4 linked regions of the Arabidopsis thaliana genome follow. The protein of the gene in region 3 interacts with the protein of the main gene of each other region in a biochemical or structural test. Each region holds a gene or a part of one and is shown on either strand. Other genes may lie near its edges.

The links.
Region 1: the proteins of NUDT7 (region 3) and GRF12 form a complex in vitro, tested with the Arabidopsis thaliana proteins (one study listed by BioGRID).
Region 2: the proteins of NUDT7 (region 3) and ATMS1 form a complex in vitro, tested with the Arabidopsis thaliana proteins (one study listed by BioGRID).
Region 4: the proteins of NUDT7 (region 3) and ATARCA form a complex in vitro, tested with the Arabidopsis thaliana proteins (one study listed by BioGRID).

The regions. Positions count from the first base shown.
Region 1 is NC_003070.9:9,154,414-9,160,922, reverse strand, and holds GRF12 (general regulatory factor 12), read left to right. Parts: upstream 1-2,829; 5' UTR 2,830-3,077; coding exon 3,078-3,159; intron 3,160-3,233; coding exon 3,234-3,540; intron 3,541-3,614; coding exon 3,615-3,702; intron 3,703-3,778; coding exon 3,779-3,888; intron 3,889-3,971; coding exon 3,972-4,120; intron 4,121-4,199; coding exon 4,200-4,264; intron 4,265-4,344; coding exon 4,345-4,350; 3' UTR 4,351-4,644; downstream 4,645-6,509. Other genes in the region: AT1G26510 (F-box associated ubiquitination effector family protein), read left to right, coding at 1-1,072; AT1G26500 (Pentatricopeptide repeat (PPR) superfamily protein), read right to left, coding at 1,026-2,543; AT1G26470 (chromatin modification-like protein), read right to left, coding at 4,887-4,973, 5,099-5,168, 5,267-5,318, 5,511-5,583, 5,670-5,789. UniProt on the Arabidopsis thaliana protein: Is associated with a DNA binding complex that binds to the G box, a well-characterized cis-acting DNA regulatory element found in plant genes.
Region 2 is NC_003076.8:5,932,084-5,941,653, reverse strand, and holds ATMS1 (Cobalamin-independent synthase family protein), read right to left. Parts: upstream 6,617-9,570; 5' UTR 6,451-6,616; exon of another isoform or gene 6,286-6,450; intron 5,899-6,285; 5' UTR 5,884-5,898; coding exon 5,534-5,883; intron 5,445-5,533; coding exon 5,357-5,444; intron 5,089-5,356; coding exon 4,961-5,088; intron 4,855-4,960; coding exon 4,463-4,854; intron 4,362-4,462; coding exon 4,198-4,361; intron 4,100-4,197; coding exon 4,019-4,099; intron 3,922-4,018; coding exon 3,755-3,921; intron 3,661-3,754; coding exon 3,555-3,660; intron 3,463-3,554; coding exon 3,212-3,462; intron 3,128-3,211; coding exon 2,926-3,127; intron 2,828-2,925; coding exon 2,459-2,827; 3' UTR 1,789-2,458; downstream 1-1,788. Other genes in the region: AT5G17930 (MIF4G domain-containing protein / MA3 domain-containing protein), read left to right, coding at 1-66, 166-290, 375-476, 634-1,050, 1,140-1,523; AT5G17910 (cardiomyopathy-associated protein), read right to left, coding at 9,362-9,570.
Region 3 is NC_003075.7:7,483,792-7,490,863, reverse strand, and holds NUDT7 (MutT/nudix family protein), read right to left. Parts: upstream 3,564-7,072; 5' UTR 3,270-3,563; intron 3,179-3,269; 5' UTR 3,149-3,178; coding exon 3,005-3,148; intron 2,947-3,004; exon of another isoform or gene 2,860-2,946; coding exon 2,794-2,859; intron 2,710-2,793; coding exon 2,569-2,709; intron 2,497-2,568; coding exon 2,419-2,496; intron 2,194-2,418; coding exon 2,074-2,193; intron 2,011-2,073; coding exon 1,960-2,010; intron 1,858-1,959; coding exon 1,823-1,857; intron 1,740-1,822; coding exon 1,628-1,739; coding exon of another isoform or gene 1,601-1,627; exon of another isoform or gene 1,529-1,600; coding exon 1,307-1,528; 3' UTR 1,209-1,306; downstream 1-1,208. Other genes in the region: AT4G12710 (ARM repeat superfamily protein), read left to right, coding at 4,131-4,498, 4,984-5,824; AT4G12700 (calcium ion-binding protein), read left to right, coding at 6,536-7,072. UniProt on the Arabidopsis thaliana protein: Mediates the hydrolysis of some nucleoside diphosphate derivatives. Can use both NADH and ADP-ribose as substrates, but not 8-oxo-dGTP, cyclic ADP-ribose, GDP-mannose, UDP-glucose, ATP, or GTP. Exerts negative control of EDS1 signaling.
Region 4 is NC_003070.9:6,218,297-6,224,742, forward strand, and holds ATARCA (Transducin/WD40 repeat-like superfamily protein), read left to right. Parts: upstream 1-3,904; 5' UTR 3,905-4,028; coding exon 4,029-4,910; intron 4,911-5,503; coding exon 5,504-5,605; 3' UTR 5,606-5,946; downstream 5,947-6,446. Other genes in the region: AT1G18090 (5'-3' exonuclease family protein), read left to right, coding at 6,243-6,320. UniProt on the Arabidopsis thaliana protein: Major component of the RACK1 regulatory proteins that play a role in multiple signal transduction pathways. Involved in multiple hormone responses and developmental processes.

The sequences.
Region 1 (6,509 bases), on a different chromosome or scaffold from region 3:
GCCTTTAAAATCTGTAGCTAGGTTTCTCACACTATCCAAGTCATGTGCAACAACTATCCGCAGTCCAAGTTTCATCACATCATTCCCGTCGCAGCCTTGTACCCTAATCGCTTCCGCCGCTACAATCAGGACTTGCCACAACTTGCCTTCCAGCTTTAAATCTAAGGACCAAAGGTTGTACTTCTTCTCATCGTCTTCTTCATCATCAACTGTCTTTTCTACGCGTTTGACATGTCCGTTGTCCCCATATGATAATCTGATAGAGTACTATTATCATTATGCTAGTGGTTTGATAAGCATTGGATGTAATCGAAAGCAAATCGTAACTAACCCCAGCACTGGTAGATTCATAACTTTACCAAGTGTCAGAAGAAGAAGAGTGGTCGTGAAAAGTTTTTTCGGGTATGATCCAGTTAGTGATCAATACAAAGTCTCGTGCATGACGGAAAGACGTCATGGCCTTCGACAAGACCCATCATCTGAACATCAAGTGTTCACATTGGGAGAAAAAAAGCCATGGAAAATGATAGATTGTACTAGCATTCCTGATCACCGTCCTTGGTCTAACGGTGTGTGCATAGATGGTTTTGTGTATTACGTTGCTAAAACTGGACAAGGTATGTCACAACTGAGCTTAATGAGATATGCTCTGAGGGCTGACAATTTGAATCTTTTTACTAGTTTACCTGAAGAGCTTCGAACTCTAAAACTATCTGGTGACACTTTATTGAACTATGAAGGGAATGTAGCATGGCCACTCCAGTTACATCTTATATTTAATGTGTGGGTTATGGATCAGGATGGCGAAAAACATGAATGGTTGAAGAAAATAACTTTCAATATTGAACCTTGGAAGAGTTCATCTCGCTATCTAGACGTTAGAGGCACTACTCATACGGGTGAGTTTATTCTTGCACCATCGCACTATCCTGATGATGAGTTTTATGTCTTCCATTACAATCTCGGCAAGAATAGCTTTACAAAGAAGAAACTTCAAGTTCGTATTTACAATGTTAGAATTGTGTCTACGTCTTCAATAATTGGTCTCTATCTCTCCTTCTCTCTCTTGTAGTCATCTTCTCTCCATACCTCTGGAATATATCAGCCAAATCAAACAAACTCACTTCTCTAAGTTTCTTAGCCATCTCTTCAAACATAACCACACCTTCCTCATTAGAATAATAATGCAAGAACTTGCTATAATCAAACCTAGGAACTTCAAGCCCTCTCTTCAACGTTCTCTCAATATACTTTGTAGTTTCCAACCGTTTCCCCGCCTTGATCATACCTCCAACGAATATCGTATCGAAATTCACTAACGGGTCCGGCCCTTTCCTTCCCCTTCTCCCCAAATGTCCTTGCAACAACATAAGATACGTATGCATTATTGGCTCGCACCCTCTCTGTATCATCTTCCTGAAAACCTCTGTTGCTTCGCTTGCCCGTTTAATCTTCACCAACCCTTTTATCAACCCATGATAGATACTAATATCCGGATTCTCAACCCCTTCCACCAACCCATAAGCCTCTACAACTCTTCGTTTAACCAACAGTCCATAGATTAACGACGCCCAAGTTAAGTTATCCACATAAACACCTCTCTCACGCATTTCATCGAACACCTTACGTGCCATATCAATCCTACCGTTTTTACACAACCAATCAATCATCACCCTGTAGAAACCCCCATCCAAATCACCACCTCTTTTCGAAACCATAACATAAAACACCTTAGAAGCTTCATCAAACTGATTCTTCTTCAGAAGTGTTTCCATAATCTTTTTACCAGCTTCGATATCAACATCAAATCCTTCATCCATCATCAAATTCCAAAGCTTAGCAGCTTCAATCAAATCACCAACATCACAAAACCCTTGTATCATCGTCCTATAAGTAATCTCATCAGGTTTAATAAACTCCTTCAGCTTAATAAAAACAAACTTAGCTTCTTCAACAAGCTTCTCCTTACACAGAGTCTCCACTCCTCTATTCATCGTTTCCACATTATACAAATACCCAAAACCGTTCATCAAATGGAAATAGTTTACACATTTCTTCAACTCTCTAGCAGAAGCAAGTGTTTTCAACACAATCCGAAATGTCTTATCGTTAACCAATCCACGTTTTCCGATCTCTTGAGCTAATTCCCAGAAAAGATCCATGTTTCTTGAGTTCCCGATGATTGCTAGCATCTTATTAGAGGTAGTGGAAGTGTGGGTGAAATCAGGGTGGTGAGTTTGAGAATAGAGGAAGAAACGGTGTACAGGACGCCACGAGAGTGGGAAATTGTTGCAGACTTGGAGGAAGAACTCGTGAGTTAGTTGAAATTTGGTGGAGGAGAGTTTAGAGACGAGACGTGAATCAGGTGAGTTCTGTTGCTGGTAGAGAATTGTACAGACTCGGAGAAGATGGTCTTGGTTTATCGGTGTGATTGTGGTTGGAGTTAGCTCGGTGGAGAAGAAGCGGTGGTTGAGAATGAAGCATCGCCGAATTGAGTTTCCGATGTTAATCATCCTCCGAGAAGTCACGACGGCCACAGCCATAAGTTTCCCGGCCAATGGAGAAAACAAAAGACAAGAACTAAATTAAATAAAAAAAATTAGGGTAAAATTATAAGAGGCTACAAAGAAGCCCATCTAAGCCTATGTCTAAAAATGAGTGGGAAAATGGAGATGCGGGGGATCGAACCCCGTGCCTCTCGCATGCAAAGCGAGCGCTCTACCATTTGAGCTACATCCCCGTTGATGTTTAAATACGTAACCAAAAACATATATAGGATTAGATAAAACGGTGTCGTTAGGGAGCGAAAAGTTCGTTAAGTTAGTTAGAAAGAATAGCGAGGAAAAACCCAGGAATTTCGCAGACACAGAGGTGTGTTCGGATCTCAAGGTTGAGATTCAGTCTTCTTCCGCCATTTGCGAACCATCTTCGAAACTCTTTTTATATTTCTCTCTTTCCCTCCCATCTCTTTCGATTATTTTATTTATCTCACCAAGGAAAACAAAACACAAAACAAACAAACAAACAAACCCATAAATCAAGATCTCTGTTTTCAGACAGATTATTATCGGAACAAAATGTCATCATCAGGATCCGACAAAGAGAGAGAGACTTTTGTCTATATGGCTAAGCTCTCCGAACAAGCCGAGCGATACGACGGTAACATAATCTCTTTATTATTTTCGATTTTAATTGCGAGAATTTATAGAAAGGATTTGGTAATGAATGTGCAGAGATGGTGGAGACGATGAAGAAAGTGGCGAGGGTTAATAGCGAGCTGACTGTGGAAGAGAGGAATCTGTTGTCGGTTGGTTACAAGAACGTGATCGGAGCAAGAAGAGCTTCGTGGAGGATAATGTCGTCCATCGAGCAGAAAGAAGAGTCTAAAGGCAATGAATCAAACGTGAAACAAATCAAGGGTTATCGCCAAAAGGTAGAAGATGAGCTCGCTAACATTTGCCAAGACATTCTCACCATCATTGATCAGCATCTCATCCCTCACGCTACCTCAGGGGAAGCTACCGTCTTCTACTACAAGATGTGATAACAGAAAAACACTCTTCTTTTTGAATCATCATCTGCAAATGAAACTCAATTTGATCTGGAATTTGTAGGAAAGGAGATTATTACCGTTACTTGGCTGAGTTTAAGACCGAGCAAGAGAGGAAGGAAGCTGCTGAACAGTCTCTCAAAGGCTATGAGGTATTAAATTTGTTTCTTTAGTCAAATACTAGAGAATTATGAGAAGTTTGGTCTGATGCATCTGTATTTTGATTAGGCTGCAACACAAGCTGCAAGCACTGAGCTTCCTTCGACCCATCCAATTCGTCTTGGCCTTGCTCTTAACTTCTCTGTTTTCTACTATGAGATCATGAACTCTCCTGAAAGGTTTCAATCTAAAACATCAATAAATAAATATACCAATAGAGTGTCAACTTTGTTGTAATGTGGTTTCTATTAAACTGTTGCAGAGCTTGCCATTTGGCTAAGCAAGCCTTCGATGAGGCGATTGCAGAGTTAGATACTCTAAGTGAGGAGTCGTACAAGGACAGCACTTTGATCATGCAGCTCCTGAGAGACAACCTCACCCTCTGGACTTCTGATCTTCCTGAAGATGGAGGTTTGTCTGAAAATCACACAGCACACATGATGTCTCAGAATGTTTGAGCTTATAAGCAGTGGTTTTGTTATGATTTCAGGAGAAGACAACATCAAGACTGAAGAATCCAAGCAAGAACAGGCCAAGCCTGCCGATGCCACTGAGGTAGTAATTCACTTTAAAATGAGGTGTATGAATAGTTCTTGTTGGGTCTAAAGGCTCACTCTTTTGTTTGTTCGTTTCAGAACTGATCAAAGGGCTTGGAAGTTGAATGAGATTTAGATTCGATGTCCAGAAGGGGGAGGCAAATTCCTTTAAATTCCATAGCTTGGTTTCATCAGGAAGATGAGATCAGAGACAATTGAATTCAATCCTATATTGTTTCTTTTTTGTATTACTTTTCGTCTTCTTTATTTTGTTCTCAATTTTCATGTCATCAAGTATTTTATGTTACGCAATTTTATTATGATTTGATCAGCATATGCTTTTGCTATCATACATTCCCATCAGATCAATCAAATGTGTATCAAAAATTGCCAAACAAACACAACCCTGGCTCTAAATGCAAACATGAAAAGAGCGAAAACCGCAAAAAGCTTGTTATGATTATTAACTCTCTGGACAGAGTAACAAAAAGATTATTCATTGATCCTGATGGTTTTATTGACATTAAAACTTCAGAATATATAGAAAAAAGCTTATCATAAGAGCTGAAGACAAAACCTAACCATATACAAAAAGATGGGAGAAGATGAATGAAAAGAAAACATCTTTTCTTCTTCCTCTGTCATTCTTCTTCCTTATCAAAGAAACTCTGCGGCAAGGTAAAGTCTTCCTCGTGATTCAGAATGTCTATGTCCTCATCATCTGATTTCTAAGAAACAAAACAGAGGTAACAGATTAATAAAACCATCACCACAACTCTAAACAATGCCATGAAGTGAAACTAAAGCTATGGGACCAAAATAACAATCAATGCTTGTTGTAATTACTACTCACCAGCATCTCAATGTTGTAAAAACGATCGAGTAGCTGCAGAACCTCATCCGCAGTGAACGGTCGGTCAAAGCTATGTACAGGAATAGTTTGATAGAAAGACTCAATCAATAAGGATCAGAGACTCATGTATGTATTGGAAGTATGAAAGAAACTCTGAGAACAACAAACCTTCTTCCGAGATACTCCATCAGACCATAAAGAACAAAGTGGCGATGTATCCCTGCACACCATCATGATCCCATTAGCAGAAGAAATCAAGAAACCAACAAACTGATCAATGTGCAAGAACAATAGACATTGAAATGATTGCATTTGATAATGGTTTCTGATAACTATCATGATACAAAAGTAAACATTGGCAGAAGCATATAGAACGTAGCTAAAGGATCAAGATTTGAGAAGTGAAACTTGCCTCGGAGTTTAACAGGAGGATAGATTTCAAGGGCTTCTAATAACCTTAGCTCTAATTCAACCTGTGACTGCTCCTGAGAAGCAAATCCAATAAAAGAGGAACCTTTAAAATCTCAGGAACAGAAATGGTAGAGAGATAGAGAGAAAGAGAGAGAGAGACCTTGGAGAGAGAGGAGGCGGAGGAAGGTAAAGCTTTACAGGGAGAGTGTACGGACAAACCATCTTGCTCTTCCTCTTTCTCTTTACCTCCTCCGCCACTTTCGTCCGTTCTTCCACCCATTTTTTAGGGTTTTGTGGCTTTGATCCCAAATGTGTTGAAAACTTCTCATAAGCTGTTTGTGATTTGTGTATATATACAGGAGTGCTTGTTTGATCTCTGAACTGGGCCGGCCCATATTTAAGGCCTTGTCTTTGTGCTTTCATCCCACACACAATGATTATTTTAAAATCTAATTCTTTTTCTGCACTCATTTTAAAATCTAATGTTATTGAATGTTATTTTTTGCACTCATTTTAAGGGGTTTTAGATAATTTTGTTTAGTTAAATATACAAAATTATAAATCTCATGGCTTTAACTTTTTTAAGTGAGATTTGGGAGATTTTACAACAAATAACATTTTTCCTAAAGTCATCCAAAAACATAAAATCATTTTAAAACTAAAATCAATTAATATAGGGTTGAATTTAACTCTTTAGATTCAAAGAAGATAAAAGTCAAAATATTCCAAAGGTTTTGACATTATTGGTCAATGCAAAAGCATCTTCCTAAGACTATCGATCCTAAGAAAGTAAGAACCCAACTCTATTGGTTTCCGAAAAAGAAAAAAAGAAGCCAAGTAATGTATTGGATAAAAATCAGATTAAGAGACTCGGAAGAATAAAATGAAGCAATATACATCAATGAAACACTGGGCATGATGATCCATAACTTCAAAACTAGATGAGCCGGGGCTTCATTCCTTACTTCTCACAAGGGTTCGTTATTACAACCATCCATTT
Region 2 (9,570 bases), on a different chromosome or scaffold from region 3:
TCTTAATGACATTGGGGAAACGGCTGACTAAAGTTGATGCTTTCACTATCACCACTGTTTTAGATTGTAAGTTTTATTATTATCATTATTATCTTTCGATAGCTGCTTTAGGTGTTTTGAGATGTTTATGTTCCGTCTCTCAGTTCTTGATAATGCTCTGAATAGGCTGTGGAATGAAAATAAGAAGTGATGATCCTCTGGCTATGAAAACATTCATCATCAGCATCCAGAACAAGGCAAATGAATTGAAAACCTCCTCCGATGGCCAGACACAAATGAATAACATGATGGTATGAATTCTATGAAAAATTGTCTTCGGGAAGAAAATGTTATACTATGATTTTTTTAAAGTTGTTTGTTCAATGAATTTGCAGATGGAAAAGATGCTTGAAACCATTTCCGCAATAAAGAACAACAAGTTGAGAGCCAAAGAGGATTCCGTCCAGAACACAAGGGTAAAGAAGTGGCTTCAAAAGGTAATATTTTAGCGCTCTATTCCTCGAAATGTTATAAAATGGATTCCATCATGACAATTATAAACATGTATGCTTCTGCTTATTAGGTGGCTTTTGGATTAGTAAGTTTTGACTAAAATGCATTTGTTTTTGTCCGTTTTTTTTATAATTTACCCAGTTGAGAGTAGAAGAAGTGTTATTAAGAGGGCTTACATGGAGCAAGCTGCTTGACCCCGAGAAGAAGGGTCAGTGGTGGCTTTCTGGCGATTTGGTGGTTGACTCAAACACCGCTGAAGATATAGCAGAAACAATGGATGCAGAGGTTGTTGAGGCCCAAAAAATGTTAAAGCTAGCTGAGGCACAGAGGATGAATACAGATTCCAGAAAAGCAATATTTTGTGTGATCATGAGTAGTGAGGACTACATCGATGCATTCGAGAAACTTCTTAGATTGGATTTGCCAGGAAAACAGGACAGAGAGATCATGAGGGTTCTAGTTGAATGCTGTTTACAGGAGAAAGCATTCAACAAGTTCTACACAGTCCTTGCTTCAAAGTTGTGCGAGCACGACAAAAATCATAAGTTTACACTGCAGGTACGTTTTTACTATCTAATAGAACCGAAGCCATGGTTATGTAACCATTCTTTTTTCTCTTATCATCTCTTGTGTTTTTTTTCCTGCAGTATTGCATTTGGGACCATTTTAAAGAACTAGAGTCGATGTCACTTCAGAGATCGATGCATCTGGCGAAATTCGTGGCAGAGATTATTGTAACCTTCAATCTTTCTCTTGCTGTTCTCAAATCCGTTGACTTAGCAAATCCAGTGGAGTTAACTCCAAAACGAATCATGCACTTTCGAATGCTGTTCGAGGCCATCTTTGAGCACCCTGAGAATCTTGTGTGGAACTTGTTCACACGCATAGCCTTGAATCCGGAATATGAAGCTCTACGAGATGGCATCAAGTTCTTTGTGAAGGAATATGTTGTGAAAAATAACAAGGCAATCTATGGGAAATTCAGGAAAGCTAAAGAAGCACTTAACAATGCAGAAGGATTACTCATGTGATCCTGTTGTTGCCACCAACAATTTTGAAGTCTCTTTTTGTTGTACACACTATCTTCTAATTTAATTAAAGTTTCTACTTTGTAAGATTTTTATCATTCACCATCTTCAATAAAAATTTACTGAAAACGATCTTAAAAGGTTGAGGTTCTTTTACACTAATTGAATTTGGTTTACTAACTAGGTTATTTTCACACAATCTTAGAGAGAAAAATAATATTAAAAACTGCAAATGAGCAAGAACTTTTCTTCGAGACCGAGCTACAATCTTTTTCTTATTTGAACTCAAAGAGACTTGAATTACTGAGATAAAACTTGAGAACATACAACATCTCAGATTTTACAGAGTTAAAACCTTCTACTTGGCTACAGTCTACAGTTCAAATGATACATAAACATCAACGAAGATGTTCTCCAAGCGAAATAAATCTTCGAGTCTAAAGTGGTGGACCATGAGACTGCAACCTAACATCAGCCACCACGCTCTTTGTGGGGCAATTCAGATTTTCTTTTTGCCAACGAAATAAAGAAATCTAAGGGAAACAACAATCTGATACAGGAGCCAGATAGAGACATACAAAGGGGCCTACTTCAAGAACAGGCTACAAAGCACTGATTGCGTCGGATAAAAAAAAGTAGTGAGTTTAGGACAACGCAAACAAAAGTATTTGTATAAGAATCAATCCTCTTATTCCTTTTCAAGATACTTTAGAAAAAAGACATTCCATCAGAGAAATATATTGGAGACAAAAAGAAAATCACAAACATTGCATCAAATCCAAAGGATGCTATAGCCTTTCTCTCTCTCAACAAGAAAGAAACCATATGCATCAAATCTACCTTCGACTAAAAATATTTTTAAGAAAGTTATTAAACCAAATAAAACACAACCATTTTAGAGAAAAAAAAACGTTTCCTTGTTCAAATCAAGCTTTTCTTCACTTGGCACTGGCGAGCTGGGAGCGGATGAGCTTAGCCGCATCAACCATGTTCTTGAGTGCAGGCTTGACCTCGGTGTACTTACGGGTCTTGAGACCACAGTCAGGGTTAACCCAAAGGATGTTCTGCTCTAGGACAGCAAGCATCTTGTTGACCCTGTCTGCGATTTCCTCAGAAGATGGTATTCTTGGAGAGTGGATGTCGTAGACTCCTGGACCGATTCCAGCACCGTACTTCACTCCTTCACGGAACACGGAAAGAAGCTTCTCATCAGACCTGGAGTTCTCAATGGTGATGACATCAGCATCCATGTCGATGATGGAGTGTATGATGTCATTGAAGTGGGAGTAGCACATGTGAGTGTGGATCTGCAAAAAAAAAACACCAGAAACACATAAGTTATGAGCAACTGAGAAAGCATTACACTACATGAGACTCGTTATGTGTAGTTTTTATTTAAGCAAACCTGGGTGCTGTCTTGGACTCCACAGTTGGTGATTCTGAAGGAGTGGACGGCCCAGTCCAAGTAGAAAGCATGCTCGGATTTCCTGAGTGGTAGTCCTTCTCTAAGTGCAGCCTCATCAATCTGAATGACACCGATTCCACCTTTCTCAAGATCCTCGACTTCGTCCTTGATGGCCAAAGCGATCTGGTAACAGGTTTCGTGCCTACAATGATTCCAAGATTGTCTTAGTGTTTTGTTCTTTATTTGGTGTTTATGTTTGTTTTTAGATTATAGTAACATTATGTACCTGGGCTGGTCGTTCCTGACAAAGGACCAGTTGAGAATGGTGACGGGACCAGTAAGCATACCCTTCATTGGGCGAGAGGTCATGCTCTGAGCCATTGCGGACCAGAAGACGGTCATTGCCTTGGGACGGCTCACATCACCATAGATAACTGGTGGCTTCACACAGCGAGATCCATAAGATTGGACCCATCCGTTTGCAGTGAAGGCAAAACCAGACAACTGCTCACCAAAGTACTCAACCATGTCGTTTCTCTACAAAATTGTGAAAACATGTCTCATCAGAAACAGTACCAAGGATTACTAGAAATATCAGGCAAAAACATAGAATAATAAAAAAAATTCACCTCTGGCTCTCCGTGGACAAGAACATCGATGTCAAGTTCCTCTTGGAGGTCAACAACTTTCTTGATCTCTTCCTTGATGGCTTTAACGTAGTCCTCCTCTGAGACCCTAGTAAAAGAGAGATTAAAGAAACCATTAGCATCACAACAATTTAAGAAAATGTGTGACGCATAAGCCCAAGGATTAAATTTAGGAGACTAACTTTTTGGCCTTGTACTCACGACGAACTCTCCTGAGCTCTACAGTCTGTGGGAAGGATCCAATGGTTGTGGTTGGTAGGATTGGGAGATTGAGCTTCTTCTGCTGAGCATCTAGCCTAGCACTAACATTGGTTGCACGACGGTGGTCAGATCCCTTCAAAGCAGCAGCCTGAGATAACAAGAATGAGAAACTATCTCAATCAATACAAGATTAGGAAAATAAACCATTGGGTGAGCACAGTGCATCAGTTTGAAATCAAACTTACAGCCTTCTGGACACCCTCGTTGGTGACTCTTGGGGAAGATCTCCTTGAAGCCAAAGCCGCAGCATTGGCAGAGAAAAGAGCCTGAAAGAAAAAAAATATTGAGTTCTAGATTTTTCTGGATCAATTACACTACAGATAATTCAAGGGTCCACTACTAGGGGAGCATGTGGGTAAAATACCTCGTCCTTCTGACCAGCCAAAGCCTTGGCCAAAGCGTTCACTTCAACGACCTTCTGGGCAGCAAACGCCAACCATGACTTGATTTCATCATCAAGCTTAGTCTCATTGATAAGATCAACAGCGGTGTGGAGAAGAGAGCAGGAGGTTGAGACCACAAGCTTGTCTGCATCAAAAAGACAACAGATCAACATTTCATACAGTTGTTTTTCAATAATTCCCTAGTAATGTCAGGTAAAAGGCAGATGATTTTGGAAGAACAATTACCTTTACCAACAATGCCTTCAAGTGCCTGCAAGGTGCTTAGGGACGCAGCAAAGTCGTTGGCCCAGATGTTCCTTCCATCAACAACACCAGCAAAGAGGTACTTTCCCTCAGGGAAACCTGCCTTGACCAAATCAAGGGTCTTGGTGCCACGAACCAAATCAAATCCAAAGGCAGTCACACCCTTCAATGAGGTTAGGGTCTTGTATGCCTCAGCAGGGATATCAGCGAAGTAGGTCTCGACAAGAACATTCAAACCAGAAAGAGTTGATTCAAGTTCAGCATAGGCACCAGTAAAGGCCTGGAGTTTCTGACCCTCAAGATCCATAACAAGGACAGGCTCGTCAAGCTGAATCCAGGTGGCACCAGCAGCCTTAAGCTCGGTAATCACTTCCCTGTACACAAATCAAAGTCATTATATCAGTGGTATGTCAGAGGATCATTGATAACATCAAGGATACGGATGGCATAATAAAGAAAAACAATAAAGTGATTTCTTACTTGTAGATCGGGAGAATCTTAGGGAGAAGAGAAAGAAGTTCGAATGACTTGTCAACACCCTTGGCAGCCTTGGAAAGCAGCAAGTAAGAGACTGGGCCAACAAGTACAGGGACGGTGTCAACACCAAGCTGCATAAACATCAAGTAAACCAGATCAGAACTTCGTAGAAAAAAAAACTACTTTAGACAACCAGTGCCAGATGACTTTTCTAACGGTTTTTATATTCAATGCATCCGAGACCTTCCTAGCATATTAGCATCCTCAGTGAAACACCACTCAATGAATCTAAGCTTAAACACTATATCCTCAAACTAAAGCCTATGATCTCTAATAGTTAATTAGACGAGCAAACAGTAATTTCCTAAGAAACGGATATTAGTAAAGAATGATACGTACAGCCTTGGCCTCCTTGTACTCATTCACCGCCTTGTGGGATGCGTAAGAGAAGTTAACCTCAGGGCCCAACTCAGGGACGATGTAATGGCTGCATCAACAAAAGCATAATCAAATTAGTCCACAACTCAAAAAGACCAATGTCAACAAAAAGAACACAAGAGATCAATGAAGACTCACTAGTTGGTGTCGAACCACTTGGTCATTTCCATGGCAGGCACAGAGGCATTTCCTCTAGCCATGGAGAAGTAAACATCAAGGCCGATCTCACCACCAGTGTATCCATACCTAGGTGGAACAGCACCGAGCATGGCGGTGGTGTCAAGAACCTGGTCGTAGTGAGCAAAGGTGTTGCTAGGGATGAACTTAGTCCCAGCGGCAGACATCTGTTTCCAGATGGATGACCTGAGATCAGCAGACACCTTCTGAAGATCCTCAGCAGTGCTCTTACCATCCCAGAAAGATTCCAATGCAAACTTGAGCTCTCTCTTAGGGCCCATACGTGGGTATCCAACAATGTGTGAAGCCATTTTGATTTTCTTTTACTGCATTAAAACACACAAACCAAATCAAAATCAAAATCATAGTATAAAATAACGTTCTCTTAATTCATAAACTTCTTAATATTAAATGATTTAATTAACAAACTCCAAGAAAACCGTAAAGCAATCACAATTCACGTGTATAAAAAGTTTGTGCAGCTTTTTGAGTCTACTACTACTACTACCACCACTTGATACTGTAATCGAAAACTTTCAGATAAAAACACATGCGACATTCATCGATCAAAAACTTTAGATCTAAACGAATACGAACACAGAAACACCAATCATTTTCAAAGGAAAGATGACGATAGATCGTAAACAGATCCAGAAACCAGATCTATAAATCGAACAACACGAAATATCCAGATCTGAGTCAAATGAACTCACATAGCGAATAGATCTCAACAAATGAGCAAACAGATCGAGGAATATAAAAAAACGAGAATGAAACGAATCACACTAAAAGCGAAGTAGTAATAATAACGTGGAGAAGGAAGGAAAGGGAGCTAAATAAGAGAGACGTAAGGAAGACATAGAAAGTCGGAGACGAACCTGACGGAGGAAGAATCGGAGAGGAGGAAGGAAAAAGGGTAGGCTAAGAGAAGGCGAAAGAGAGAGCGAGGAAGAAGAGTGGGCTGTGTGAGTTTATTTATAGCGAAAATAAACGAGATACATCATCGTTGGGCTCTGTGTCATTTCTGTAGATCTGGTGGTGCTCGATATTTTCGCAATTTTATTTATTATTTTAAATATCCCTATTTATTTATATTATTGGTGTATGTGCATTTTCTCTGAATTTGATGTTATTTTTCAACACACTTGAGTGTAGGATTATTTCTTTTTTGTCTATTGTTTGAGTTCAGTATTTTTTTCTTATATTCGTAGAAATAAGTATGTGTGCATTAGTAGAGCTAACAAGTAAGAAATATAATTAAAGTATCATATTGGTAAATTAAAAAAAAAAACTGAATTAATATTGCCATCTTTTATAGGAAAATTAAATTACCAGATGCCCCATAAGTAATTTTTTTAAGGAATTTTTGTTGGGTATGTATTTTTAGCTTGAATTTTGTTTTTTTTTTTAATTTATGAATGAGATCTTGATTAATTGACGAAAATATCTGAACAGAAAGGTTTTTCAAAAAAAATATTGGAGATTAGAAATGAATAATTAATGGTTAGTATTACTAAGGTTGAAATCATTTAATTAACTTATAATAAAAGTATATTAAGAGATTAAAACGTGAAGGGGAGTTGGTGTACGTGGGGAGATTAGTGGGTGGCAATGGGACCCATTGAGGTTGGTGGAGATTCACAATTTGATTATTTCCACAGTAAGGTTTTCTTCTATTATTGATACGACGCCGTTTCAAGTGTCAGCACGAAAGAGTATCAAAATCAAGGCCTGTTCCATAGCGTTTTGGAAACAAATCGAATTATTTACAGGGAACAATACTCCAAATTTCAGTGATACAACTCTTTCAGTTAAATATAGAAAGTCGAATAGTTGTCAAATCTATATGTATATATAGAAAGTTGAATATCTGGTAACACAATTTTACTTGAACAAGTAACAATCTTGTCTGGCCATTAGTACACTTGTGTAAGTCAGATAAAAACTATGTATGTTTTTGGTAAATAGAGTAGGTAAAGAAACATAAATTATGGACCTACTGTATATAATATAATATTATTGTTTAAGATTCATAAGACAATGAGTATACGCGATGGATTAATGGTCTTAATCTTTTTTTGTTTGCTGGTAATTTGGCTACCAAACTTTGATTCTTGACCTTTATCAACGAACCTCATTGTTTTAATTTCCTAGGTCATTTTTTCTTTCCTAACCTTAAATGTAACTTTTGGTTTGCGTAAATCATGAAAGAATATTTTTTTGTAAACATATTTTAAGTTTTATTTTGTTCTTTCAGTCTGCATTAAAAAATTTCACGTACTAGTTACCAATTTCAAAATATTTGTTTTTTTTTAACTCTATAGCAACTGAGGAAGTTTAACCATATCGTGCATAAACTACGTTATAAGCTCTTTTGCGGAATTTAACATGAATTTTCTAAGTTTGGAATATAAAATTATATTCAACCACTTCCACAACTAGTTTTGGAGTATCTTTCTATTTGTATGGAACTGGTGTAGGTCAATTTTGAGTTCACTAGGAATTTATCAAGAAGATGCTATTGCAAACAACACCAAAAAGTCAACAAAATGTTTATGTGATAAACAAAAAATTAGTACTATATGTATGTTTGATGATTTTATTACTTGGTAACTTTAACTATACATCAAACTGGTAATCACACAACAAACAAATTGAACAACATTTAATTACATGAGACTTTAAATCTGCAGGACAGTTGCATATGCTTCCTCGACACTGGTTTGTCGGTGGATGTAGATCTAGTATGTACACAAATAAAGATAATCACACAAGCATTTATTGAAAGTGAAACTCGCACTCTATTTTTTTCTTTCTATTTACTTGTTGTACGACATAAAGAATTGAATACTTTAACAATCCAAATGAAAAACAAACAAAAAAACTTTTCTTTAGGAATTATTGAACTAAATCGTATGTGTATTAGTATAACAAATTATTGGATCAATAAAATACTTGTTTACCAACCTTTTTTGGCATCTTGAGTTTGGTAATCATATGATACACGAATCACAAGATCCAAAAGTATTCTTATTGCTGGCTTATAAAACTTTATGATTAAACTATGGAAAGGCATGCTTTTAGACATGTGAAACAATAAAAACTGTATACACACACATTATGCTTTGAATCAAAAGTTGGTGATTTATATGAATATACTTGGATACTTTATTTACATAAAATCTCAAACACAAGTTCATCTTTTACCAAAAAAAAAAAGAGAGGCAATGCTTCATGTTAATAAGAGATTTACAACTAAATATGAACCACCAAAAACTATTTGTAATCTGAACGGTGTTACCATCTTCGATCGAGTCCATTATATTACAATGTTCATAGAAAAATCCAAACGGCAGTACCTTTCCCATTTCTCAGGTCCAATACAAATAACAAACCCCCCAAAAAAGATGCGAGAAAAGTATTTAAAGACACAATCCAAAACCCTGAGAAAACCTCTCTGGTTTCAAGAGATACAAATCAATCAAATCGATAAATATGAAAGCTGAAGAAAGAAGAGAAAAGGAAACACAAACACACAAGAAAACCAATACAAAGGAAGGAGAAAACTTGGTATAAAAATATGATTAGCGGCTACTTCTTGCCCCTTTTAAAACAGAGGACACAGATGAAAAAAAACAAAACCCAGAAGTGCCTATCATTACCCTTTAACAAAGATATATTTACTTGAGTTTGAGATGATGTATTACCCTTTAATTTTCAATCTGAGTCACTCGAACTAGAGCTTGAGCTTGAACTCGAGCTTGAAGGGTTGGACTTCGTCTTCTTCTCCTACTTTCCTTTTTGCTCTGCAATAGTTTCCACCGAATTCTCTGGAGTTTCTTTGGACTCAGGACTCTGGACATTTGCATCAGTGTTGCTTGCAGTGGTCTCAGCTTTTGCTTTCTCAGTCACAACCTCATCACTTAGTGTTACATTACTAGGACCAGCAGCTTTTGTGGGGATTACCACTCCTTCAGAGATTACTTCCATTGCCATCC
Region 3 (7,072 bases):
AAAATCGGATGTATTTAAGAAATTTAGTGTGAGATAAAAATTGATTTTGTTAGTACCTACTTGTAAGAAATGTAATTATTTTATAACAAATGTAATTATTTTGAAGGATACTAAAATAGACATTTTATTGCTTTAAGTAATGTGCAAAACTTCAAAACATTTAATGCCACAACTATTGAACGAAGCTTTATTCACCCTTCTATTCACCTCCTTTTGCATTAACCAATAAAAACATGTCATGTCAAATCTTACTTAAATTACATAATAAATTAAAGCTATAATTATAAATCTAAACCGATATATAATCTCGTTTAATTACAAAATCTAAACCCTAATTCTCCTTTGTAAACCCAAACCTTCATTTAAACTCATTTAATCGTAAGAAAAAACTAAACCCTAATCGTATTTTCAAAACCCAAACCGACATTTAACCTCGTTTAATTGTAAAATCTAAATCTGTTTATAAACCTAAACCAATATTTAATTGGTTAATTGTAAAATCTAAACCCTAATCGTACTTTCTAAACCCAAACCGATATTTAACCTCGTTTAATCATAAAATCTAAACCCTAACCTTTTCTAATAAATCCAAACCGATACATAATTTCGTTTTAGTGGCAAATTAGATTTTATAATAAAATTAAATTCTTTTTATTATTGTTAAATGTCAGATTTTAATTGATTAAAATAGAAGAGGTGAATATAAGGGGGTGAAGGGTGAACCCAAGTATTTTTAGCAACTATTCCATTTTAAATTTTGATGTTTCCATGTTACAATAAATTTTCTATTTCTGGAAAAATAAATACACTATAATTTTAATATGGGGCCTATAAAGTTTTTTTGGGGCTAAAGCCCATATATGCCTTATCTTTTTCACGTTAGGCACACAGTACAAACGAGTCGCAAAAATTGGTGTACATATACAAAGTAATGTGAACCTTTTTAATGGCATTAACACTTTCTTGGATTCACACCATTTACCAGTGTAGTAAATGGTCAAGAGACGATACAGCTGAGAACTTAAAACCGGTTACGAGAAGATATTTTGGAAGAATAAACCAAGTGTATGGTAACACTCTTAAGCCTCATATCTTTAAAAAGCACGTAAGCGTTGGGAGAATCAAACCATCACTGGAAATAGACTAGAAGTCGATGGCAAGTTTTACAGTGGCTCATAGAGATGGTATAAACTTAAATATTTAGACGCAATTTTGTAGAATCGGAATAATATAGAAGAAAGTTTCCTGTTTTGTACACACTGGACACACACATGCCGAGATCAAACAGAATCAGATGAGAATGTTTTCAGAGAGAAGCAGAGGCTTGGTCACGCGATACTTTAAGGCGCTTGGCATGATCCGCATTGCAGTAGATAAAGCTCTCTTTACCAGATGATGTGGTAGTTGGCACAATGGCGAATCCCAAGTATTCTTCCTCACACTTCTTTTGGCAAATGTTAGCCATGAACTTGAACATCTCGTTCTTCTTGTTCCATGGTTGGTCTACATACTCTTGGATCGGCATCCACTGTAATACAATATACCAGTTTCGGTTAAATTTGAAATATATGTCAGTAACTTTTAACATTTTCTTGGCTCATCAACACTGAAAGTTAGAAAGGTTTACCTTAGCTTGCAAGATCTCAGATTTTTGTTCAGTAATATCGTAAGAGCGCGGACTTAAGACACACAGGAAAAACATATCTGTTTTCTTTTTTAAGATGGCTTTGTGGCTTTGCCTGAGAGTGTAAAGAGTTGAACAATGAGGAACAAATGCGTTTAAGCCAGATCAATGTGTCTACAGCAATAAAATTTAAGTTACCTGAAAGCCAGTACTTCGACAAAATCTGCAATAATCTGAAGAGAAAAGCCAAGAGAAGAACACAAATTTTAGATTAGAATGTCAAGTAAGAGATCCTTATGATTGAAATGCTTAATTTTTGAAAGCCAGATACTTACTCCAGTTTCTTCTTCCACTTCCCTAGCTACTCCAGTCCATATATCCTCGCCCTGTGGCATTGGAATGTTTTAGTTAGAAGCAAAAGACAACAACAATCAAAACTTCATATCCACCATTCTCTTAGTTTCATTCTTGGTATCATTACAGATTATCAGTAAACACTTGATGGATCTGTAAGATGTAAGAACTACTTTCTTATGCAATTCACCAACAACTCTCAGCACTACCAACTCCTAGAATATACTCCCCTAAACAATACGCTGACACCCTTCATAAGCCAAACCCTTACTAGTAGTTCACTCGTTTTCATTCACAGGACAATAAGGTATAGGATCCTAGGAGCTTCGTTCATCAAGATTGCCTCTTTTTAGCATTTAACTCTTCATGTCATTCACCGTGATTGTAAATATTTAACGGGATAGTAAAAGATCACAAAAACAATCTTATGTAAAAATCACCTCGTTGATAACACCAGTAGGCAGCTTCCACACATTTTTATCTTTGAAAAACCCACTCCTCTCCTGGACAACGAGGACCTGCTCATTGAATTATCATTATTTGTTAAGCAACGTATGCGAAACTATGCAAAGAAGAGAACAGTTGGCTACCTCTTTAGTATTTTTGTTGATGACCAAAGCACCAGCACCTACAACATGAGAAGCATTGGCTGGGATTGTATCAGGAGTTTCAGAGATCCAAGATACAAGCATCAAGTACTCAGGCTCCGCGTGGTGATATCTAAATCCTTCCTGAAAAAATCACCAAACACAAGAAGATATTCAACTAATCATCACAATAACTAACGTCAATCCAAATCCTCATATAAAACTTACACTAACTGCAGCCTCCACAAGATTAGCCAATCCAAGAGGCAGCTTTATCCAAATTCCCTTCTTCCCCTGCAAATCATAAACTCTGACTAAGTCCTCATGTTATCACAATCCTCTAAACTCTTAAGAGCTCATATCATATCTCAGAAGTTTATCAGTTATCAGTACAATCAAACAATAAGGCTTGAATCTGAGTTATATATATTGTTAATACCTCTTCTCTCCAATGCGAAAGAGAAGCCCTAAGACTTTCAGTAAAAACCTCAGAATCCATAGGTTCCACCATGGTTACAGTAACACCATCGTAATTATCAGTCTCACCTTCAAGTAAAGGAATCTGCTGAGCTCTAGTACCCATCTCAATCAATCTTCTTATCACAAAAATCAGCTACACGAGAGAGAACAAAAAAAAGTACACTTTTTTAACAAACCCATCTTCAGAAATCTCAAACAAGAGAGAATGAAGGAGAAAACTGTACCTGTGTGTACCTTGGAGAGAATTGAATTGAAGTTATCCTTCGATCTCAAGAAGACTTTATACAGAGAAGGTGAGAGAGAGAAACTGTAACGAAGACTTCATACAATTTCCGGGAAAAACCAAAAACCAAAAATAAAAAAACAAACCTAATTTAAAAAGAATGTTTCCGTGCCCTTTGTTTATTGGACTCATCTCGTTGGCCTCGGAAGTCAGAACAAAATGGAAACATCGTGGAACCACTTAAGAACTTTCAGAAGAAGCAGCAGATCAATGAGTTCTGATATATAGGAATTCCGCACAATATATTCCAATTTTTATTTTATTTTATAAATGAAAAATTATAAATTGTAGTCGTTTATTCTTTGTGTTAGTCTATTTGTTTCATTACGCCTAACGGCAGCAGCAAACTCTACCGCATATTGTTGAAGTAAAATGATGTCAACAATTTTTAACCGCAGCTACTTGCGTTTGCCTTAACGTTTGACCACATCGTCTTGCGTCCACCAAACGAATATCATCATGGTTGCTGCTGTCGCAAATAGATGCGGCGATCAAACGAACAACCTAATTATACTTTTAAATAGTTATATAAATATTCGGGATTTGTTGTTAATTTTGAAAATAATTTTTCTAGCTAATTCTTTCTTATATTCTTTCCTTGCATAAAATTGAAAAAGTTAAAATATTGAAATGTCCCGGTTGGTAAATTGTGAACTAACTAACCTCGAGAAATATGGGCTCTTTCAACTAATACCATAACTTTCGTTTTAATTAAGTAGATGATTCGATAAGTCGTCGTTTCGTCTTTGACTAGAGAGAAACAAACACAAGAGCGAGCAAGCGAGCGAGAGAGACAGAGATAATGGTGGTGGAAGAGAACCAGAATCAGATGATGGCTTCCATCGCCGGCGACTCAACGGTGACGGCAAATATATCGGAAGAAGACGAAGCAGAGGAGGAAACCACCACCAACACATGGAAAACCACAAAGGAATTACTGATTCTACATCTCTCCAAGAAGCTTCTCCATGGAGATCTCGATTTCCGAATTGAAGCCGCTAAGGAAATCCGAAAGCTGCTTAGAAAGTCTCCGGTTAAGTCTTCCGCTAGGTCAAAACTCGCCGACGCCGGCGTTATCCCGCCGCTTGTTCCCATGCTCTTCTCCTCTAACGTTGATGCTCGTCACGCCTCTCTCCTCGCTCTCCTTAACCTCGCCGTTAGAAATGAACGGTAATCTCTCTTGGATTGTTCTAGGTTTTATTGCCATGTACCAGAAACTGATTCTCTCGTCTTGTCTTCTAGGTCTAATTTAACTCGATCTGAGGCTTTAGGCAGTGTTTAGGATTAGTGACTTCACTAATCTCTGCTCAGAGCTTGATTTATGACATTGTTCTGGATTTGTAGTTTTAGTGTTAAGGCAATTGTTTAACTCTATCAATCAGGCATCAGAATGTACTGAGAGTAGCTACATTTTGGACTTTAGATCTGTTGAAACCAAGAGGATACTGCTTTTTGGACACTGATCTGATTGCTCTAGGTCTAGCTTTACCTGTAGTTTACTGCTATTTGGATAAAGATAGCAAATGTAGGATGTAATTTACCTACTTGCTCCAGCAGTATTTTCTACAGATCCTTTGTAATCTGTGTGGAAATAGATTTGCATTTTCAGTTCTTGTGGTGGTCATTACTTATTTTGGGTTGTGATTTCTGACCAGGAATAAGATTGAGATTGTGAAAGCCGGTGCCGTTCCACCTCTCATACAGATTCTGAAGCTCCACAATGCTAGTTTGCGTGAATTGGCCACTGCAGCAATTCTAACACTTTCAGCTGCACCAGCCAACAAGGCGATGATTATAAGTTCTGGAGTTCCACCGCTTCTGATTCAGATGCTTAGCTCCGGAACTGTACAAGGGAAAGTAGATGCTGTCACAGCCCTTCATAATTTATCAGCTTGCAAAGAGTACTCTGCTCCAATTCTTGATGCTAAAGCTGTCTACCCGCTCATCCACCTCCTTAAAGAATGCAAAAAACATTCCAAGTTTGCTGAAAAAGCCACAGCCTTGGTTGAGATGATCCTGTCTCACTCTGAGGACGGGCGAAATGCCATCACCAGCTGTGAAGATGGTATTCTGACTTTAGTAGAGACTGTAGAGGATGGTTCTCCACTCAGCATAGAACACGCAGTTGGAGCTCTGCTTTCTCTATGCCGCAGCGACCGAGATAAGTACCGAAAACTCATACTGAAAGAAGGTGCAATCCCGGGTCTCCTAAGTTCAACAGTAGATGGAACATCAAAGTCCCGAGATAGAGCCAGAGTTCTCTTGGACCTACTGAGAGAAACCCCTCGTGAGAAAGAAATGACTCCATTAACACTAGAGAAAATTGTCTATGGCATTGCAGTACAAGTCGACGGGGCAGAAAAAGCTGCTGAAACGGCTAAGAAACTGCTGCAGGACATGGTTCATAGAAGCATGGAGCTGAGCATGAAAAGCATCCAGCACAAGGCTGCGTCTTGTGCATCTATTCCTGATATCTCTTCCAAATCGAATAGCTAACGATCGTAGTGGTAATATTATTGATATCGTAGAAGCAAGAAGGTTGCATTACGAGATTTGTAGTGTTTCAGGTTCTGATCTGGAAAAATTCAAGAATTAGAGCCGGGTTTAGGTCTAGTCTTACCTCTCCGGAGTTGGAAGAAAAACCATTTGCTAAGTTTTGAAGGCTGAATTTTTCTTTCCCTTTTGTACATACTTTTGGTTATGGGTCATGTGTATATCAGAACCCTTCCTCATGCTTTTTACGCTGTCTCGTCACATTGATTCGGCATTTTCGTTTTGAAGTTTGGTATTCTTGGTCTTTGTCTGTTAAACAGTTTAAATGAAATACAGTAAAAATGACGGCCTTGAGCTCTATTAAAAGACCACCGGACAAAAATGGATTTCTTATTTCACCGAGTGCATAAAAATGGTTTCTAACTACAGCAACTATTGGAAAAATGTACAAACTCACAAACTGACGTCGTTTTAGCCCACACTGACCTCAGATTATAAACTAAAGTAACGTCCTTTTGCTATAGTCGATGTCTCGATGACGACGCAAGTAGAGTCGCTCCACCTCCACATGTACACGTGTAGGCAAAAAAATACACACACACATTACAAGAAATGTTCCAAGCTCTTCGATTCCTCCGCTTGACATGGCCATAACTATTCTTGACACTGTCTCTAATCTCTGAGAATGACATTCATCGAATCTTGAAGACAAAGATGTCAGGAAGATCTGCATTTTCCAGAACCGGAGGTTTCCGACCTGAGAATCTAGGGCAAAACGCAGTATCCTTAATCGGAAGCATAGGCTTCTCTGTACTCGTAATCGGAGTCGTAGTTTTCACCATTATCGCTGCTACATATGAACCAGAAGATCCACTATTTCACCCATCTGACAAAATCACAACTTTCCTCACATCCAATTCAAACGCTACTCTTAAATCCGACGACAGTATTGTCAAAACCGGTGAAGATTTCATGGCGGCGAACCAAACCGCGTTTGGCGGATTCATCAATATAGCTGATGTTGAAACATCTGAGAATGACTCTGATGGTAATCAATTGGATTGTGATACCAATATCCCAATTGATTGCAAAGATCCTGAAGTTTTTCACTTGATGATGAAAGCTACTATGGAGAAGTTTAAAGACAGTCACTTTTATAAGTTTGGTAAACCTGTGATTGTGGAAGGTAGTAGTAGTTCTTGTGATATGGCTTGGCGTTATAGACCTAAGGATGGTAAAGCGGCTGCGTTT
Region 4 (6,446 bases), on a different chromosome or scaffold from region 3:
AAACGAACTAGTGCCGCTTCTATGAGGCTCTCATTTTTGCCCAGGTGGATCTTTTATATTCCCTTTTTTTGCGTAATCAAATTTTTCTTATTTCACATCCCAAAACTCACGTGTCAGGTTTAACGTAAATACGACGTCGGTTAGCTAATATAAGGCCATAATGAAAGCCCAACTAATGGGCCTTAGTTACCCTTGTGTATGATTGTTGGAAGGCCCATATTCACTATTGTGAGCAATATTTATTTTGTACAACAATTGGAAAAGCCTTTGTAAAAAGACACTAGATTTTCAACCGCGGGGACTAATTATATTTTAAAGTTAATATATATAAAAGTTTGTAATTTGTAACTATCTATGTAACTTTCTATAAAATATTTTTATTTTATAGTTTAGAATTGTTATTAAGTAACGTCCTGCCAAACCCGTCCCGCCAACCCGTCCCGTAAAAAAAACTCATTTATTTTATTAATGTTGATCTTATTTATCATATGTTTATGAATCATTGTCTAAATATTTTGTAATTTTGTAGTAATTAAATGCTATCAAATATCTCTGCGGTTTGATGATTATAATTGAATTGTAATAGTCATGCAGAAAAACAATATCAATAATGATAATTTTGTAGTAATTAAATGATATTAAATATTTTGAAAGTTTTATTTTAGTAACCAATCGTGTAGTTAATGTAGAGAGATTTTAGGAAAATTGTTAAATGTCAAATATTTAATTCGAAGATTTTTTTCTAATTATCAAAAACAAATATTAATCTAGTGGCAACCATTGTAAATAAATCCCAACTACAGGATTTATTTCATAAAATGGCTGCAAAAATGTATATATAGATAGATGTGTATAAAAAACAGAAGAATTTGCTTGTAATTTTTATTTTATTTTTTTAACACACCCTTATAATTTTCAAAAGTTTGTATCTTTTACATAATTTCTTTCAGTTAAAGAAAGTTAAAAGTTGAATGCAAAAAACACAAAAGCACTAATGAGACTAAGTTCTTTTCTGTAGGAAATCTACCCATAGATTCTTTTTGGGGTTATTATCATCTGTTATATCCATCCTTCAATCTTGACCGCACAATGTTATCTTCTTGTTTTGTATGTTCCCGATAGACCGATACTTTGGAATTTTAATCCAAAAAAGAAATTGAATGTTGCAATCAGATTTAAGAATGACAAAAGAAGGAGTGGGGTTACACAAAAGCCAATGAGGAGGCATGTGACGTTTTTATGTAAAAGGGAATCTAATAGCTAAACAATGTCAGTCCATTTCCCTAAAGTCCTTTTCATTACCACCCCCACCCATTCTATTTTCTTTATTTTGAATTTGGTATGATGATATTTTCATCATTTCATTTCATGTACTAATCAAGCTCCATATTCCATATGAATAAATGTTACTTTAATAGCAAAAATCGTTATCAGACTCGTCTATTCATTAGTTGCGTGTCCACTCTCTTATTATATTCTTATTCAATTGAATTTTTCCAATCTAAAGTAGGTTAGAAAAAGATTGGCAAGATTTGTTTCATGATTAACAATTTAAATAAATAAATTAATTAAATTAACAGACTAAAAAGAGTGAATTAGAAAAATAACTAGAAAAAAGTAAGTTCTTGAGTAGTAATGAAAGTGACAATTGCTAGTAAATAAGTGGTTTATGAAATCATATATATGAAGTGACAATTGCTGTAAATATGTGATTTAATAGCTTTTCATTAAATATCACAACAAAAAATCTGTGAAATGAATCAATAGCTATTAAATCACAAAAGTAAAAAAATCTGTGAAATGAATCAATAATCCTAACTATTAATGGGTTTAAGAAAAGTCCTCGAAATGAATACCATCTTTGACTCCCTCTTTCTTTCTCATTAGGGCTACAGATTTTTGTCTTTAAAAAGCCATTCAAGTTTCAATGGTTTTTCACTTTTGTTCTCCTCCTCCCTTTTTTTCTTTTCAGGATTCTTCTTTTCTATGTTTTATCTTTCATAATAGATCTGATAATTTTGATTTTTCACTATATATATTATGGTTAATACTAGTAGCTTTTTCATTTCAAGTTTTATCCTTCCATTGGTTCTTTCTGAGTCAAATTGTCTCCTGTTTCGAACCATATATAAGTTTTCAATGGTTTTGTATTAACTCAAGTATTCAACATTATGTCTCTCTTTTTCTTGCTTGGATCTCTAATGCTGTTCATATTTTAAAGCATAGGTTTAGGTTAGATGCATGTAACTGCCAATTAAAAGAAGGTCAAGAGTTTTTTGATTGTATGAATATATGAGTTAGTCAAAGCAGATCCACACGATTATATAGAAAAACAAAGGAAGAAGAAGAGGAAGAGCTCCTTGAAGTTCAATGGAGGGTTTAGCAGGGTGAAGTAAAGCTGCTAAGCTATGGATCCCATAAGCCTTATCAAATTCAATATAATTGATGATAAGGTTTTTTTTATGGATGCCATATCTCAGGAGCTTTCACTTACCCCTTTAATGGCTTCACTCTTCTTTGGATTGAAGGGAGCTCTTCATCTCTCCATCCCTATCTCTCTCTCTCTCTATCTTTAGTTCTTTTAAGAATGACTTTTCATTTTTTGTGTTGTCTGTTGCAGGTGTATAAACATGGATGATGGATCTTGAGTAGGATTTTTTATTTTATTTTCTTGTGACATATATGCAATTTTTATGGTTTGTACTTTGTATTTCCATTAGTTTCGTACTTTTCAGTTATGTATCATTGTTAATTCTAATGTTTGAAGACATTTAGAGTTTATACTTCTCTAAATTACTTTTTCGACTCAATAAAGTCGTTTAAGTGTCTACAAGTATATACCGTGTTAATACTTTTCAATTCATATCCACCATTGTATAAAGATATGATCCGCTTTTATTTAAGTGAATCAATTAATTTACAGTATTCCTCTATATCTCTCTCACACTGTTCGAATAAATTTAATACTCAACAGATCTAGTTTGAACTTTTTAAATAAGTTTAGCCGAAGAAAATTATCATTGTTGAACAAACTTATTAAATTCGGATTGGCTTATTTGATGCATCCAGATTGCAAAACTATATTTTTGAATACAGCTGGAAATGTTTTTAAAGTGTAAAACAACGGTATATATATAAGTCAAACTGGTTTTTTTTGTAGATTTCTCTCCCTTTAGCAAGTTTTATTGCTTTCCTATAATCCATAATATTTACATCCAAAACAGCAATTATATAAGATTTTCTGCTATTTCAATACGATGTTATACTATTTCGGCAGATGTACGTACTACATTACATCTAACCAATCCAGATTGATAACTATATTTGATGTAATCTCGAATTAGTCAATCTCTGTACCACATATAAGAAATTTTGCTTTTTTCACAAAAGAGTTGTTAGAAATTTGACCTATACAAAAATAATGACCACGATAAATGAGTATATACATGTACGTAAGATAAATGTAAAGTTGTATATTTGTGCGCCATTCATGATTCATTCCACGTATATATTGTTTGTTCGAATCAAAGCAAACTCAGAAAATGAAAACGCTGAATGACGATAAAAATAGGGACGCTTTTGTTCGAATTAGCGTGCCCATTATGTCACGAACGTAGATTCAAGTCTTGGCCATAAAACAGGATTCCTTATAGCATCCACCAAAACACGAGAAATCATTCTCAAAAACAGTCTCTCCAAATCCGAACTAAACAACTCATAGCCCATATAATAAGGTCTGTAGTGGGATGCGTTTTTGGCTTTTAGAACATACCAATTGGAGAACACGCTTTCTTACACATGGAAACAAATTACGAACGCTTCCACCAAATATGGGCTGAGATAAGCCCATTAACATAAGACCCAGTAATAAATATATAATATGAGCCCATATTAAATGAACCCTAATCCATTTTTAGTTTCTATCATATAAATAGCTTCTTGTGTTTTTCACGCCCTTCTTCTTTGTATTTCCGCCTCCCCCGAGAAAACGAAAACCCTAGTTTCAGAGGCATCTCCAGACACCGAAAATGGCGGAAGGACTCGTTTTGAAGGGCACCATGCGTGCACACACTGACATGGTGACGGCAATCGCCACCCCAATCGATAACGCAGACATCATCGTCTCAGCTTCCCGCGACAAATCCATCATTTTGTGGAAACTCACCAAGGACGACAAAGCCTACGGTGTAGCTCAGAGGCGTCTCACTGGTCACTCTCACTTCGTTGAGGATGTTGTTCTCTCCTCCGATGGACAATTCGCGCTTTCCGGCAGCTGGGACGGCGAGCTCCGTCTTTGGGATCTTGCTGCTGGTGTCTCCACTCGTAGATTCGTTGGACACACCAAGGACGTGCTCTCCGTCGCCTTCTCACTCGACAACCGTCAGATCGTCTCTGCATCTCGTGACCGTACGATCAAGCTGTGGAACACTCTTGGTGAGTGCAAGTACACCATTTCAGAAGGTGGTGAGGGACACCGTGATTGGGTTAGCTGCGTCAGATTCAGCCCTAACACGCTTCAGCCGACGATTGTATCTGCTTCGTGGGACAAGACCGTGAAAGTGTGGAACCTTTCGAACTGCAAGCTCAGATCGACTCTTGCTGGTCACACCGGTTACGTGAGCACTGTGGCTGTATCACCTGATGGTTCTCTTTGTGCAAGTGGAGGCAAAGACGGTGTTGTTTTGCTGTGGGATTTGGCTGAGGGGAAGAAGCTTTACTCTCTTGAAGCTAACTCTGTGATCCATGCTCTTTGCTTCAGTCCCAACAGGTACTGGCTCTGTGCTGCAACTGAACATGGTATTAAGATTTGGGACCTTGAGAGCAAGAGCATTGTTGAGGATTTGAAGGTTGATCTCAAGGCTGAGGCTGAAAAGGCTGACAACAGTGGTCCTGCTGCCACCAAGAGGAAGGTACACAAATATTTTCCCATGATGGTTCAATCATATGCTTTTAATCGATTACAAGTTTTCAGCTTTTGTATAGGAAGAATTTTCTGTAGTTGGTTATGATGTTGATTATGACTTGTGATTAAGTATTACCCATAGCTGAGTATATCATAATTCGTAATGTTGGTCTGTTATTGAAAATGTGAAAGTTCGTAAAAAGTTTCTTACATGGATTATTCTATTCAAATGCTACACGATGATATATGTAAATGGTCTTCTACACTTGGTTTCAGTTTCAGATTCTGCAATTATGTTTGCTTGAATTACCATTCCGTTTGGAGACTTAGGCTCTCTATCTTCTTTATCTGTTTTAATCTTCCATATATAGCAATTACCATAATTGTGTTTTCGCCCCAGTTTGAGCCTAAATTGTCAATTAAGGTTGTCTTTTAATGGTTTTGTGTGTCCATACTCATTGATTACCTGACATTTCTTGTTAGGATCATAGTAGTAGTAATATTTTTCTCCTGATACATAGCCCTTTGTTTGTTGTGTAATAGTACATGTAAATAACCATGGAAAGTGACTGAATTCAATTTGTTTGTTGATTGGGTCAGGTTATTTACTGCACAAGCCTTAACTGGAGCGCTGATGGAAGCACCCTCTTCAGTGGTTACACCGATGGAGTCATTAGAGTTTGGGGTATTGGTCGTTACTAGTAATCTCATCACTTGTGCTGTCGTTGCTCTCTGCTATCTGCTTGTTGGTTTTATCTATCACTTATGTTTTTATCGACAACTCATGAAGTACCTTGAGGTTTTTGGAAGGATGTTTGTTTTCTTGTCAATCTAGGTTTTTGCTTCTTTATCTTATCGTTCGAGATCTTGGTTTTTAGAGTTACTTCTCCCATTTTGTGGCAAATGATTCCCATTAATAATATAGCGAAATGGTGGAATAGCGGAATTCTCTAAAATTTGTAACTTTATCCAATATGACAGATGAACCAAATGATTTTTAACATGTAATAAACTACTGATTTGCAACGAACTAAGAAGGTTATAGACATGAACATACTATCTTTGGAAATGGACATGAACTGCCGCTATTACTGCTGCTTCCTTCGACCAACGAAATTTCGCCACATAGACTGGTAAAGTCGAACAGCCGCTATTACTGCTGATGTGGCATCTGTCGTATTTTAATCACTCCCGCCATTGCCTTTTCGCGCTAAGTTTTTTTTTTTACTTATGCTTTTTTACTCTAGACTGGAAAAACAAAACAAAAAAGGCTATAAAAAGAAAAATAAAGAAGACAAATTCGCAAGAACCCTAAAAAGAAGAAGATAAGAAATCGGAAATGGGCATCAAGGACCTTCTCAGATTCATGAAACCTTATATCCTTCCCATTCACATCCAGAAATACGCCGGGAAACGAGTAATTTTCTCCGACTTGTTTTCTTAATGTTCTCCATTTCCTTCTCGATTTTAGTTTCCGTTAATCGTTCTGGGTAAATCTCCATTAAAAATCAAGTTTTTAAATGATGGGCTTACACATTTTTGT